Linked DNA regions of Astyanax mexicanus. The protein of the gene in region 2 binds, or shares a complex with, the protein of the main gene of each other region. Links are inferred from orthologs where the notes say so. Each region holds a gene or a part of one and is shown on either strand. Other genes may lie near its edges. The genes, in order: bbip1 and bbs4.

The links.
Region 1: the proteins of bbs4 (region 2) and bbip1 are in contact, whole or in part, in a cryo-EM structure (PDB 6VBV), measured with the Bos taurus proteins. The link is inferred for Astyanax mexicanus from reciprocal best matches to the Homo sapiens genes BBS4 and BBIP1. Residues at the interface, in NP_001069424.1 of Bos taurus: Leu210, Leu213, Tyr236, Leu240, Ala241, Ser244, Gln247, Thr248, Ser269, Pro271, Asn274, Asn275, Met278, Phe281, Gly282, Lys284, Tyr298, Leu299, Pro301, Leu302, Asp303, Trp304, Lys305, Ile306, Tyr308, Asn309, Leu312, Leu315, Thr316, Gln318; in XP_003587939.1 of Bos taurus: Met7, Phe8, Arg9, Glu10, Val11, Leu12, Pro13, Lys14, Gln15, Gly16, Gln17, Leu18, Tyr19, Val20, Glu21, Asp22, Leu28, Lys30, Pro31.

What each region holds. Positions count from the first base shown.
Region 1 is NC_064430.1:22,198,421-22,206,139, forward strand, and holds the start of bbip1 (BBSome-interacting protein 1), read right to left. Parts: upstream 3,224-7,719; 5' UTR 3,145-3,223; intron 1,793-3,144; 5' UTR 1,788-1,792; coding exon 1,742-1,787; intron 421-1,741; coding exon 239-420; 3' UTR 1-238.
Region 2 is NC_064409.1:48,864,354-48,872,609, forward strand, and holds the start of bbs4 (Bardet-Biedl syndrome 4 protein), read right to left. Parts: upstream 3,098-8,256; 5' UTR 3,025-3,097; coding exon 2,998-3,024; intron 1,390-2,997; coding exon 1,338-1,389; intron 1-1,337.

The DNA.
Region 1 (7,719 bases), on a different chromosome or scaffold from region 2:
GGGTTCTCAACCAGTAGATCAAAATGTTGTTTCTTTGACTGAAGAAACCTGCCACTGCCAGGGTGGTTCAACATTCTGTGTGTTTATGTGGTTGTTTTTCACATAAAAAAACAAAGTCCAGTCAAACACACCTTTAGCGAGTGGGCGGGGCTAAATTGGTGTAAGCTAAGCAGGTTGTGATACGAGGTTGTGATGAAGGTGTGCTCCTCACACTCCTGTGCTGCACCTCCTCATGGTGCTACTGCTCCGGCTCGGGCTGGTTCTGCTGCCGCTGCTCCCTGAGCGCCACCTCCTGCTGCTTTATCACCTCCTGCGCCTCCTGCTGCATCTTCTCCAGCTTCTCCAGAGTCACCGACTTCAGGGGCAGGAGCTTGGGTTTGCACAGGACCATGGTGGGAACATCCTCCATGGACAACTGGCCTGAACAGACGATAAAAAAACAGAAAACCAATATACCCAGAATATATGATTTAATCAACTCAAAATAACACAAATATAATTTAATCAGTCAGGCCTGGTTTAATGTTCAGGAATAACTACAAGACTAATGCTTAAATATATTTTAAGAATACACTACTGCAACAAAATGAAAATGACATTTTACTATTGCATATATATATGATATGTCACACCCCTAACAGAGATATAAACAAAACAAGAATTTTATCAGATCTGTAACAGAAGTCAATGATCCAGAATTATTAGTCATGATAATAATAATAATAATAATAATAATAATAATAATAATAATAATAATAATAATAATAATAAAGCACTCCAAATATCTCCATATATCTAGGATTAAAGTAAAATAAATAATACTGGACAGATATAATCTGTCTCTAGTAGATATATAGTGGGAAATGAAAACAGTGTGAATTTTTCTTTTGATAAAAAGTTAAAAAAAAAAAATAAAAAAAGTACAACACTGATGTGATAATTAGTGCTGTGCGATATGATGATAAATATTGTGGGGAGGATAGAAAAGTGTTTATCGTGCTACTTATCTTCTATCATCTCTATCATTTCTACAGTAATTTCATCAATTACTCATGCAAATATATAAAGTAGGCTATGTTGAAATGTATTGGCGTGGTCACTTTGCATAAACTCGGTTTTTATAAGTGATAATAAAGTAATCTTTGCAAAAAAAAAAAAGCTTCATAATGTGGTTTTGCGACATGACGCTGCTTTACGTTATTTAAGGGTCATGCACGGACATGCCGGTTTACGACGTGCTTTATGTTATTAAACTCATGAGAGCTGAACAATGGAGATGCATTGTTCTTTTAAAAAAAAATTGGCTACTGCATCTACTTCATCTGTTTGCACTAAAAGGTAGTAATTCTCATTTGTGAAAGTTTGGTTTAATGTAACTTTGAAATAAAATTAGAAAAAAGTAAGCAATGATATTGTTTTGTCACATTTTTCAAAGAATAACTGAAAACATACTAAAATGTGGTACATCATTATATAAATCGTTATCGTGATATAAAAAAAAAATCGCTCAGCACTAGGCGGGTGATATGAAACGATATTTCAGGGTATGATATCGTTCACCATATTCAAAAATGTTGGCAATGTTATTGCGTACGATAATGTATGGGACAGTTTTTTTGCTTCAGTGTCTCAAAATAACTGTATATTTGATTATGTTTAGATAAACAGAGGTGTTTGATTACAGGCTATTTATTTAGACCTGTATTCTCTCAGTAAATCAGGTATGGGCGCTCCATCTCACCTTGTTTGGGCAGAACCTCCCTGAACATTGACTTGACCTCAGGCATCGCACCTCGTGTACAAAACAACAAAATAAAAGTTAGTCACAAGCAGTCTGAGTGGAAACGTTTATTTTCCCCACTAGTTAAAGCCTTTTAAGAGCCAACCCTACCCGACCTGTATATAATCTCTTCAGCTAGTGAACAGCACACATCATGCTGACTGGATGCTGAAAAGACGGAAACTCTATCCAATGAAAATGCTATGTTCAAAATAGGAAATCTGAACTGAAACGCCTTAAAATTCAGATTTCCATCTCAGAATGTGGGGAAAGTCTCACCATTAAATCAGTTGTGCACACATTACTGTCCAACTTTTATTTGTAGACATGTTTATATGTTGTTTGGATGTGCAAATAATGTACAATGTGCTGTTAACAGGCATTACCTGTAGAACTGTTCTGTTTATTTTAAAACTACTGACAACATTTCTCCCAAATTAAAAAATTAAAATAGTAACAGCATTTACAATACAATTGCAATACAATTCTAATATTTTAACTCAGAAACATCTGGAATATGGAAAGATGGATGATCACAAAACATCAATCAAAGCTGAACTGCTTGAATATTTGCCAGTAGTTTAATAAGCATAAAATTACTCAAAAGCAGTGTGTAAGACTGGTGGAGGAGAGCATGATGCCAAGATTATTCTTTATTATTTGAAGTCTAACAGCAGTAACGTTACTGTTTTTTTCTCTCGTTATTTCAGCCATTTCTCCTTTTCTGCAAATAAATGCTCAAAATGACAAAATTTTTATTTGGACTTTGGGAGAAATGTTGTCTGTAGTTTATCGAATAAAAACAATTATGTTGATTTTACTCAAACATGAACCCATAAACAGTACAATCAGAGAAACTGATCATATATAAGTGGTCTCATTTTTTTACGGAGTGGTATATAAAAATATTGCACATATACACACATACGTATATATACACTTACACATTATCATTATATTTATATTAACATTACAATAAACTCGTTCGACGCAATAAATCCTGGAACAAATTATAATCAATTAAAAAGTATAATAACCCATGCCTGTTTGGATGCTTTATTATATGATAAATATGGTATATTAGTACGAGCTTTATTAATAAATCGTATCACAGCGGATTTCATTAATAAAATAGAGATTTAAAAACAGCTGATCTACAGGATCGCTTTAATCCCCACAGTAACCCGAGCTCTCCTACACCCTCTCTCTGTTTAAACGCGCTGTAAAACACACTAATACCGGCACCAGAACACCTATAAACAGCTATTAACAATTATACACCGATTTAAACAGTTATAAACAGATTTAAACCGCTATAAACAGTATAAATATTATAAAATAACCGAATTTCTGACTCAGTTTACCTTCAGCCGCGCTGATCTGCTCTCCTGTCTCTCCTTCTGCTCTCAGATCAGCTGCAGTCTGAGTCAGTGACCCGCTCCCGCCCCCCACCGGCCGAACCTGCTCATTACAGCTCATTAACGGTTTTCGGCACATTTGGTTGAAAAAATAAAGAGGCTGTTTTTTTCTGGATATCCTCACCTTTATCAACCTCATAATAACAATAAATCTTCATTATAATCATGTTTTGTTTTTTTGGGATGGAATATTGTAACAGTGCTCGAGCTCTTTTGTTATTAAATGCTGAAAGCAGGGTTCACTCCTACTGTCATCAACAGCATTACTTTAACTGCTTAAAATACAAATATTTTTTCCCTAATCATATTACTGGATGTATTTTAGTGTTTGAGTTATTTTAAAGAAATATCAGCATTATATAGTTAAAATTAAATTATATTCGCGGTGTCAATCACTTAAAAATTAGTTAATTATTGTGAGAGAACAGTAATAATAGTGTAGTGTAGTTTAGGTCTGGCATATAGCCTATCATAACACATCAAATCACAGCCTATAATAGCACATTACATTATAGCTTATCATATCACATCATTACACATTACATCATATCTTATCACATCACATCATAACACATCATTGCACATTACATCATAGCTTATCACATCACATCATAACACATTACATCATATCTTATCACATCACATCATAACACATCATAGCACATTACATCATAGCTTATCACATCACATCATAACACATTACTTCATATCTTAACACATCACATCATAACACATCATAGCTTATCACATCACATCATAACACATCAAATCACAGCCCATCATAGCACATTACATCATAGCTCATCACATCACATCATAGCACATCACAGCCCAGTTCTATAAATTTGATTATAATTCTAGGTAAATATTATATACACAAGATGAAATTTAATATCCTCATACAAATGTTTTCTTTATACACATCTAAATAATTATTTAAACAGTTCAGTAAATTTGTACAAGCTAAAATAAGGCATAATGTTATAATAATGAACTTAAACCAGCTATTGATTCCAATGATTTACTTACTTTTTTAACTACCACTTTGAGTGTTGAATAAGGGTGTGTAAAATATATTAAAAAAAAACTATACATTACTCTTGGCTTGGATGAAAAGCATTTCACATTTTATATCAGAATTACGCAGAAAACAATGAAAAGGGTTCACATACATTTTAAGTGTATACTGTGCAATGAGTGCATAATATCTCATGTGTGCATTGTAAGTGTGTAATAGTGTGTGTACAGTAAGTGTTTAGTAATGTGTGTGTATAGTAAGTGTTTTTAGTAATGTGTGTATAGTAATGTATAGTAATGTGTGTATAGTAAGCAAGTGTATAGTAATGTGTTTATAGTAATGTGAGTATAGTAAGTGTACAGTCATATGTGTATAGTAATGTGTGTAGTAATAAGTGTGTAACAGTAAAGTGTGTAGTTATGTGTATAGTAATGTGTGTATAGTAATGTGAGTATAGTAAGTGTACAGTCATATGTGTATAGTAATGTGTGTAGTAATAAGTGTGTAACAGTAATGTGTGTAGTTATTTGTGTAGTAATGTGTGTATAGTAAGGGTCTATAGTAATGTGTGTAGTAGTGTGTATAATAATGTGTGTATAGTAATGTGTGTATAGAAAGTAAGTGTGGTAGTGTGTATAGTAAGTGTGTATAGTAATGTGTGTATAGTAAGTGTGTGTATGGTATGTGTGTATAATAAGTGTGTAGTAGTGTGTATAGTAATGTGTGTAGTAATATGTGTATAGTAAGTGTGTAGTAGTGTGTGTGTATAGTATGTGTGTGTGTATTACGGTTTTAGGGGTCCGTATTCACGACGTCTCGCGATGTGTCGGGCAGCAGCGCGTGCGTGTGTTTCGGTGCGTGTGACGCAGGCAGGGCGGCAGGGGCGGGTCGCGCGCCGCAGCGGCAGCAGCAGCAGCACGAGCGGCGGCGGAGCGGAGAGAAGGAGGAGGAGGAGGCGGTGGAGGAGGAGGAAGCAGCAGCGGGGATGGCGGAGCAGCAACACCTCGGAAGGTAACGCCGCCGATCGCGGGGCTTTACGGGGGTTTGACGGCTGTCGGTCGGTCGGGGACTTGCTGACATACAGTAGCGGGGGAGAAGCGGGTAACCGAACCACCCGCCGCTCGCTGGGGCTCTCCGTGACCGCGGATCGGAGGGCTCTTTTGTTCAGCCCCGGAATGGCCGCTCGTATGTGTGTGTGTGTGTGTGTGTGTGTATGTTGGTATTTATCACATTGTTGGCACAACACTCATCTGTTTACACATCATCAGACCCTATTGCGGTATGGGGACCAGCAGAAATCAGCGTAATGATTCAGGGAAATGCGTTAAAATAAACACATACAGGAGCTACTCTGATTATATGAATATATATCTATGTGGTTTTAAGCTTAGGCCCATACATACCACATGTCTACTAGTCAGATTGTCAGAGAGAGTGTGTGTGTGTGTGTGTGTGTGTGTGTGTGTGTGTGTGTGTGTGTGTGTGTGTGTGTGTGTGTGTGTGTGTGTGTATAGAAAGAGAGAGAAAGAAAGTGTTTTTACCGAGCTCGGCTCGATCACTCAAAGTACTCATCTAAAGCAAGCAAACGAGAGAAAACGGGCAGGAAATACGAGGTTTAGCTGCAGCTTATTATATAGTTCTCTGGAACTGTTGCTCCCTGCCAGCGGGAATAGCTGAATACCGTGGCCGGTGTTGTGTCGAGTTGTGCTACCCATCGAAATGTGCTTATCAACACCAGTGCGCATGCGCTGACCCAAATTTATTTTATGCGTGTTTTATGGTAGTTCTACTAAATTTTACTTGGGTGCATTCAACAACACGAGCCCTCCTTTATCCTTATGTCATTTTTTATCTAAGTGTTACAAATGTGTAAATGACAGTTAATAAAAATAATAATAATTGTTTATTATTATTATTATTATTATTACTAACGTTATATAATTAATAACAATGATCATATTAAGTAGGTTTATTGTCAATACTGCATATCGTTGTATACAGGATATACAGAGAATTGAAATTGCTGTTACAGCAAGTAACGTTACTGTAATAATAAGATTCTAAATATAAAAGAATTAGAGACACAAAAAGTACAATACAACAAGGATAGATATAGACATACGTAAGAGATACAATACAATAGTACAACAATGATGAGGGGGAGTTAAAGATGGAATGGCAGTAATAATAAGTGAGCAATTAAAAATACAAAAAAAGGTTATCACTCATATTAACCATTAACTGTATCCTGGTATATATATTCAGGCTTTCCAAATATCCTACCGACAGTATTTTAAAATATGGTGCTTTTTTCGACATTTTTTACGTTTAAACACACACTAGAGTAGCAGAGTTTGACAGGGTAGCACGACTCGACAGAACACCGACGCTGGCGCCGCCTCTCCCGGCCTGGGCTGCGCTCTGCCCCCGCCGCGGCTGGAGCGCTGGTTGGTGGGTGACAGCTGCTGCGGGAGAGAGAGCGAGGCCCTGCGGGAGAGACCCGGAGCCTCTCAGGCTTGTGAGTGCGAGCTTCCCCCGCTGTGACACGAACTATACAGCGGTATAACAGCAAGGTACGCGCATTATTAATAGTTAATGTTCTAAATAATAAACACAAGTATAAGAATTTTAATTTCTACTGATTTAAAGCTCGTTTTTCGACCGTTTTTCCTTCACCGAGTTCACATTAGCATCCAAGCTAACGCTAAAGAAATACCTAACGCTAGTTAGCTTAGCTTAGCTAGGTGGGCTAGGCTAAAAAGGGTGGCTAACGTTAGTGTACTGGCCGAGTTATATAGTTAACTAGCTAACTCGCTAGCTTACCAGCTGTACTATCTAGATAAATCTCTAATTTATTTTAAAGTAAATCGTGTGCGCAGGGTTAAGGCAACGTTAAACTAGAATTCAGTGGAAAATAGCTCGGAAAATAGCTAAGCTAATGATAGCTTAGGCTAAATAATAAGGGCTTCTTCTTTTAGTCGGTCAGCTAGCTTAGCTGAGCTAACTATCTAATTTAGCCAGCTAACGTTAGCTAGCTGCTGTATTGACTATTGACTATCAAAACAAGACATTTGGGTGACTTTCTCCCAATCTTCCCTCCTTAAAACAAAGCTAATGATTTTTTAATACACGTTCAAACCGTCTGTCAACATGAATTGTATCTTTTAGGCCATAAATGAGGTCGTCTTTTGGCTGAGGTTATTTTTTGAGAGCAAGGGAAGTAGCTTAGCTTAGCTAGTTAATAAAGTGACAGTCAGATCTGAAGCTGTAACCTGGGTTAGTTAGCTATAGCTCAATATATGATGTTTTTATTCCAGACCTCTGAAGGCCTCAGTGTGGACTTCTTTCTGACTCAACAGAACATTTCTGCTGCATTTCCAGATAAATCCGTGTGTTCAGGTGTTTTGTATTTGTGTCTTTTCTCTCAGTAATGTTCTCTCCCTCCCTTTTTGTGTGAGATCACCGTTCCATCCTGTTACACCACCCAGAACACCTGCAGCAGC
Region 2 (8,256 bases):
ATCAGTCACACATGAGTAATACTTACAGAGCCAGACTAAAACACTCAAGACAGGGTGTTAACCCTTGAAATCTTTCTTGATAGATTTGCACCATAAAAAAGGGGGCCTTCTGTTCAGAGACATATTCAGCCTTTTGCCTCCAAAGTTCACTTCAGAGCATGCCTCATCTTCTAAAATATTAAGCGCCGACTTCAATAGACACAAAACAACAGGATTACTTAGCTCAGGGTTCAAGCTAAGTTCCACATTACTTAGTTTACACATAATCTGACGCAGTCTGACATGAATAAAGACATGCATGTTTTAGCGACTGCATTTTCTGACAGAAGGCACATTTTTCAGTGTCTCTGATAAGGAACACTCTGCCGCTGTGCTCCCTCCTCACTGCTGGAGACCATGTAAAGCTCCCCCATTCTAAACCCAACAGGCACCGCAACAAAGGAAGCATCTACAGTGAGGGGCTGCATCTGCATCTTACTTAGCTGGCTCATAAGGCTGCTGGCAAAATCTGATTTCAAGCAGTTCTATTCCTGGACAGACTTTTCTCCCTGAGCTGTAATCCTCTTCAAGGCTAATCGGAGACTGGAGAAGAAAACTCAGCCAATCAGCACCACCCACAGGAGGAAGGAGAGAATGGCAATTGAGACGAATTGGAGCAGGGACAAAGCTCTGAAACACTTTTTATACAAAAACCTTGCATCTTCAAATGACAAATTTACAAAAGTAGAAAAAAATAATCTCTCTTAAACTCTTAACGTGGAGGTCAATGAAAAAAATATTTTATTCCAAGTAATTGTGGAGCATTACTGTTGGTTAATTCCTCAGAAAGTTTTGATACAATGTAAACAACAACTGCAAGCGAAAAAAAAAATCTGCAAAAATTGAGGCATGCCAAGAATGAAATTCAATGAAAACAATGATATGCAAATGATATGCACATGAAATACAAAAAATAAGAATTAGTAGTAAATCTACCTGAAGTTTCATTACTATTAATCACACCAATAACTGCATAGTTTCTAGATGCAATGAAACGTATAAAACACATAACTGTTGCCACTACAGCCAAGAAGTCTATAATCTACCTATCAGCAAATCAATATCAAATATTTAATTAATATAATTTTGCGTCACGTCTAGTTTAGATCAAAGAATTTAATTAATCACATCATGAATCAAACACTTGTCACATTATTATAACTGTAATATCTTAATGTAAATAGAAGAGAATATGTCGCCGTAACATATATGGCCACTGTTTTAAGCCCTCTCTAATCTTCTTATAGGCTAAATACTAGATACTGGTGTTCAGCAGCTGTCTTTTTAATCTAACAAACCTTTTTTAAGACGAGGCTTCTTAGGGTCAGTGGCCACCGGCAGCGGAGCATCCTAAAACAAATAAATTCATACAAATTAATTTATCAAAATGTTCAGCATAAATGAATAACATAATACAATATTTCAATATTAAACAAATGCTAAACTTTTTGACTAATTTTACAGTGTGACTAGAGTACCATGTGATACTGTCAGATTATTTTCATGCACAAAGTAACCACTGTGTGAACAGAAAGACGATGTCATTATATATACACTGCATAGATACAAATAGGGATTAAAAATGGTATTAAATAATAGTTTATTTTGTTGGAGTAACTGTTTCTGCTCTCCATGGAAGGCATAATTCTGAAACATTGCCGGGAGGTTTTATTGTATTCAGCATTAGGTTAGTATTAGTAAGGCCCAGATGTTGATAAATTTCACCCATCTTATGCCTAACTGTCCAAATCAAGGCTTTTATTCCCCTCTAGCCCTCACATTGCACATTCTAATGACAGTAGACAAGCTGTGTATGCATTTCCAGCTTGTGTGAGCAATGGGTGTTTGTAACTTAAATAAGCTGAATGCAGTCATTAGAAGGAGTGTCCACAACCATTTGAACAAACAGCTCTGGAAAAAAATAAGAGACCATTTCAGTTTCTGAATCAGTTTCTTTAATTTTGCTATTTATAGGTATATGTTTGAGTAAAATGAACATTGTTTTTTTTCTATAAACTATGGACAAAATTTCTCCCAAATTCCAAATAAAAATATTATCATTTAGAGGATTTATTTGCAGAAAATGAGAAATGGCTGAAATAACAAAAAAGATGCAGAGCTTTCACCTCAAATAATGCAAGGAAAACAAGCTTATATTCATAAAGGTTTAAGAGTTCAGAAATCAATATTTGGTGGAATAACCCTGGTTTTTAATCACAGCTTTCATGCATCTTGGCATGTTCTCCTCCACCAGTCTTACACACTGCTTTTGGATAACTTTATGCCACCCCCGGTGCAAAAATGCAAGCAGTTCAGATTGGTTTGATGGGTTGTGATCATCCATCTTCCTCTTGATTATATTCCAGAGGTTTTCAATTTGGTAAAATCAAGTTTAAGTGGTCTTTTTTTTTGTACAGAGCTGTATAGTGTGGCTAATACCGTGAGCAGAGACAGGATGAATGAACTGACTGTCAGAAGGTGGGTAGCTACAGAAATAAGAGCTAACTAAAACTTTATTTTATGAAAGACTCGATATTTTAGTGTGTTCTCAATAGCCTACCAGCCCCTGCAGACGAGTAACAAGTACAGAAAGACTGAAATGAGCTTTACCACAAAAAACAGCCTAAACTGAGTTAACGGTAACGGTAGCATAAACACTAAAGCTTAGTTAGGCTTAGTTAGTGGCTGTATTTCAGACAGTCAGGCAGCTACAGGGGTTAAACAGTAGGTTATCTGAGACACTGTAGCTGTTGTTTAATGGGTTTAAATCGTATCATTAGCAGCGCTGCTGGCTAACAGACGCGCTTGATCTGCAGCTCCGCTGTTCAGACAGACCCTCCCAGCGAACCGCCCCGCTATATATATCCACTGCCCCGCTTCACCAACACACACTTTATACACAGCTACAGCTACAGAGTTTCACTGAGAGCCGCTGCAGCTCCATAGCCCCATTCTCACCGCTTTAACCGTCTCCTCATCAGCCATCCCTCCAGCTCCAGAAAACACACTTCCGGTTTCTACGCGGCCCCTGAAAACGCACGGCCGTTACCATAGTAACTAGTCCCGCCCCCATCCAAACGAGTCCAAAACGATTTTCTGTCAAAAGTCCCCCCTAAAACGTAATAAAACTCTGGTGATTAAATACTATGAACTAGTTTGATAATATATAGAGCTTAAAATAATTTAAAATCTACACATAAAATAATGTAGATAAAAGAAAAAGTATATATACTCATACATACCTGTCAAGTTTTGGACTTAAAAATAAGGGATTTTTTCCGCCGCCCCAACAGCCCAACCGAGGGCTAAAAATGTATATATATATATATATATATATATATATATATATATATATATATATATATATATATATATATGTATGTGTATATATATATATATATATATATATATATATATATATATATATATATATACACATATATATATATATACATATATACATATATATTTTTTTATTATTATTTAATAGATTTAAAATTGAAATTGAAGGGTGCACAAATTTACAAAAAGGACATGGATCAGATATATTCCATAAGTAAATAATAGTCCTAAGGGGCCTACACAATTAATAATCTTTCATTAATACTTCTTTCTATCATTCAGTCCACTCCTGATCAGTTCAGTTAATTTCAGCCCTCTCCACATTTTCTCTCTCTCTCTCCAGCTCAACCATCTCTTCTACCCCTTCTAAATAATACATTACACCACAATACTTGAGATTTAAACAAATTCTAACAAACCCTAAAACTAGCCCTGAACTAATAGAGTTTGGAAATTATATGTTTTGGCTGATCAGGCACATCAGGGCAGGGCATTATATGTATGTAGATTTTTCTCAAACCCTGAATATCTATCTAGCTAATTCTAAAGTTAAGCTAACTGAGTCACAAGCTGTATTTTATTAAACACACAATGGGTTGAATTTATGTTTTGATTCAGAGAAGAGTCTTTTTAACCAGCTATCAGAAACAATCTCATCACAGTTTACATGGTTAGTTACCTTTCTTTTAGAAAAATCTCCGTATATCCAGATTAGTTTTAACGACAGCTGCTCCGACTAGCTGCCTGAACTCACAGCGAGGGGAGGGGCGGGGCTGGCTCTGCCCGACACTAAACTGCGCTCCGCAAAACCAGCAATCTGATTGGCTGTTTCTCCTGAAAGGCGGGACTTTCTCCTTGAACCGGCAACACGATTGGTTAAGAGACACACAGTGCATTGTCGCCTGTGGCCTATATATTTTTTTTATTTAGTATAATACGGGAAATTTACGGGAAAATACTAATACGGGAGGACGACGGGAAAGAGGAGTAAAATACGGTAGTTTCCCGGCCAAAACGGGAGACTTGACAGGTATGTACTCATATAATGATGTATTGTTATAAAATAACTAAGTTCTGGAAGCAGGAACATGCCTGAAGAACCTCCCCATTCCAGTCTGACATCCTAAAAATTCCCTGGACCTCTGATATGCCATGGCAACTTTTCGCAAAAATTATTCAAATTGTCAACCATATAATTGTTTATATTTGCAGTTCACGTGCATGCACCAAATACTCTGCACTTTAGTATTTCGGTAGCTTTTTTCGCTCTTTTACATTGTTTTATTTACATTTTGATTTGTTGATATGTTATTATTATTCTTATTATTATTCTTATTCTTGTTTTGTAGCTGTTGGTACAAAATATTACAAAAAAGTTTAGATTTTTTTGCTCCTGCTAAATGTTTGAAACTGTTATACAGTGGTGCATAAAAGTTTGTGAATACCTTAGATTTTTTTTTCTTTTCAGCTACTGTATAATATTGAAGAAGTAAATACAGACCTCAGGCTCTTTCAGTTTAGTTTTTTTTTTTTAACTGAGACTGAAAAAATCACCATCAGGTGTCGCTGTTCAGCGCCGAGGCAAACAGTTATCACACACTTTCACTGTTGCAGCTGATATTATTACACCGTAGCATATTAGATATGTCGTTGTACAATGATATTTTGCATTCATATATAAAACCCCCTGTTGTCTTTGGGTGGAGTTTGTATTTTGTTGTCTTGAGTCACGTGACAGCTTAAGTTAGTCCTATATAACGCACAGTGTAAAACTCTTAAGACGTCGCATCTGATCCCCATGTATCGTTTATTTATTAATCTGTATATATCTGTCTATTACTGATGAGTTTACTTTATATTTTTATAGTCCATGAATTAACTAGCTATATTTGTATAGAGTACTTTATCATTTTATAGAGTTCATAAGTTTACCTAATATTTTTAGAGTTCATAATTGAATTATATCTTTTAAAAGTTCATAAGTTTACTTTATAATTTTTATAGAAATAAAGTTTCCTTACATTACACTTTCATTAATTATTTTTTTATAAGTTTAATTAACTTTTATAAGCTTAATTAGCTTAATTAAGACTTGTTACAAACCCATTTAAAAGTAAGTTTTTTGCATTGCTTAATCCTGTTTCTTATTACATTATGTTGTAAAAACTTTGAATCTTAAAGCTGCATTCTATGAATAAAAAGTGCTTTATAAATAAATAAATAAATAAATAGATAAATTATATTATTGTTATTACTCTAGTCACATATTCAAATATTATTTAGTTCTTTAAATTATTAACAGCATTCACACCAGTTTTTTAACTTTTGATTTAACTTTAAATGTACTTTATTAGATTTAAAGCTTTAAAAATATTAGCTTTTAAAATGTAATAGAATTACACAGTCTCAGAATTAGATTTGAATTCTCAAACGTTTAAATGTTCAAATAATCAGAAATAAGCATTCAAGAATGTTTTTATGAATCTTTAGGGTTCAAGCACCGAAGGTGCGTAGAACCCTATTGTTTTTGCTAAAATTTTTAGGGTTCAAGCACCGAAGGTGCGTAGAACCCTATTGTTTTTGCTAAGATTTTTCTTCTTCTTCTTCTTCTTATTATTATTATTATTATTATAATTATTATTATTATTCTTTTTCCTCTGAAAAAGCAGTTGTGCAGCCTAAACTGTAAGTCGTAGAGATATGAAACTTGGTAGGTAGATGTAGGATCAGTGCATCTCGGCGGACAACAAAAATGGCACCGATTGGTCAAGTGGTGGCTCTATAAACAAGGAAATTCATTTTTCACATTTTTCTCAATAACTCAAAAACCATAAGACCTACATTCACAATTCTTTTTTTGATGGATTCCTTGGGCCAATACCTACAATCATGCACTTCCGTCTATATAGATTTTTTGCTAATTTGCATAATATGCAAAACATACTTTTGCGAACTAGTCCTAGGTATTTTGACCAATCCTGACATGTTTGGTATCAAAATACTCAGGAGACCATGCTCTTCAATATTCATCAAAAATGTTGAAATTTGTACACAATATGGCCGTCATATGCAAATTAGCCCTTCCGGATATATGCCCTATTCACTCCAACAGTTAAATTTGGAGCACTGTTTCTCAGCAACCGTGCAACCTAGCAAGCTGAAAATTTGCATACAGAATATATCATATATCCTCTAAAGGATGGTCAAAGGGCAACTGAATCAATCAACATGGCTGAACACCATCAGCCAATCAGCATTCAGCAGACATTTTGGCAGGCTGAATGTTGAACAATCTGGATCACATTTGGCAGTTATTTTCAGGTGGAGACACTGTAGTGACCTGCACAGTCCTGAAACAATCCGGCCACTGGGGGACATAAACGAGTATATGTCAATCATGCTGTACTATTTTGACATCACATTATTTTTGCCATATTTAGTACAGTGGCTCTGACAAATTTGTCAATACAACTATGTTTAAAAAGTGCTTTGTTTATTCATAATTGCTAGTTGTTTGAAAATAGCTATATTGAAACTGGTCTCTGGATATTTGGCATATCACCTCCATTTCGGTTATGTTGCACACTGTAGAGTCTCTAGGTAAATGTTCATTAAAAACATTTGTGAAAATTTCACATACAATACTGTCCAGGCATCAAGCAATCTGTGCGTCCTTGGAATTTCTAACCTAAATTGCTGTAACTCTGCAGTATTTGCTGTAATCTCACAATGTTAAAGACCTCTGTACAAAATCACTCTGATGAAGCGCCATTTAATTCAGAACTAGATTTAGAATAACTTTGTAATTACATGTCATATCAGAACATGCACTCCTTTGTGCCTCTTCTCAACATTAATAACAGGTGAAAGACTTTTGATCATTTCTAAATGTGACAGTGTGTCTCCAATTATGCTAGACCTTCTTACACATCATCATCCTATGCTCTAGTAGGCACCATTGTGCCAGTTGGGGCTCGATGAAGTGCCATTTAATTCAGAACTAGATTTAGAATAACTTTGTAGTTACATGTCATGTCAGACAATGCACTCGTTTGTGTTAATTTAAACTTGTTTAGTCAAACATTTCAGCTTGTTTTGCAAAGGTCAAAAGGTCAATCTGAACACCACTTTGGGAACATTCTGGTTGAAGCCACCTGATCAATACCCATAACATGTAGACACCTTTTGACTAGTTCTAACTCACTTGATGAATATCCTACAAACTTCAATAGATTTGTATGTGAATTTAAGCACTGATCATGTTGAAAGGCCTCTGCTCAATATTAATAACAGGTGAAAAACTTTTGATAATTTCTAAATGTGACAGGGCATCTCCAATTACATTAGACCTTTTCACACATCACTATTCTATTGGTGCTTGAACCCGCAGATTGCCGCTTGCATATATTATTATTATTGTTATTATTATTATTATTGTCCCTTAGTTTAATTTTTCTCACTCTTATCACTCTGTAACACATTTCCCAAGATCTACTTTGTTGAAAACGTTATTACACATATAAAGAAATGTTAATTTTCACTTTAAAGAACTTTCTGTACATTTTATACAGTTTTCTGTGGTGTGGGGGGGGCGCCTTTTTGCATTATACACAGTACTGCCTGGTTAAGGTGGATGATAAAGTGGTTAAATAACACATTTTTAAAATGATGATTATATTATTACATTTTTAGTTCAAACATTCAGTTTTAAATAGTGTTGCAGCTGTTTAGCAGGTTAGCATTTAGCTTGGCACTAATTACCTGGCGCCCACTGTAGTTGGTATAGCATTAGCTTTTTGCCTCCTTTTTTAGCAGTTCCGATTCAATATATATGTCAGTATATTGCAGTACTGTAAGCAAGGCAATTTATTATTA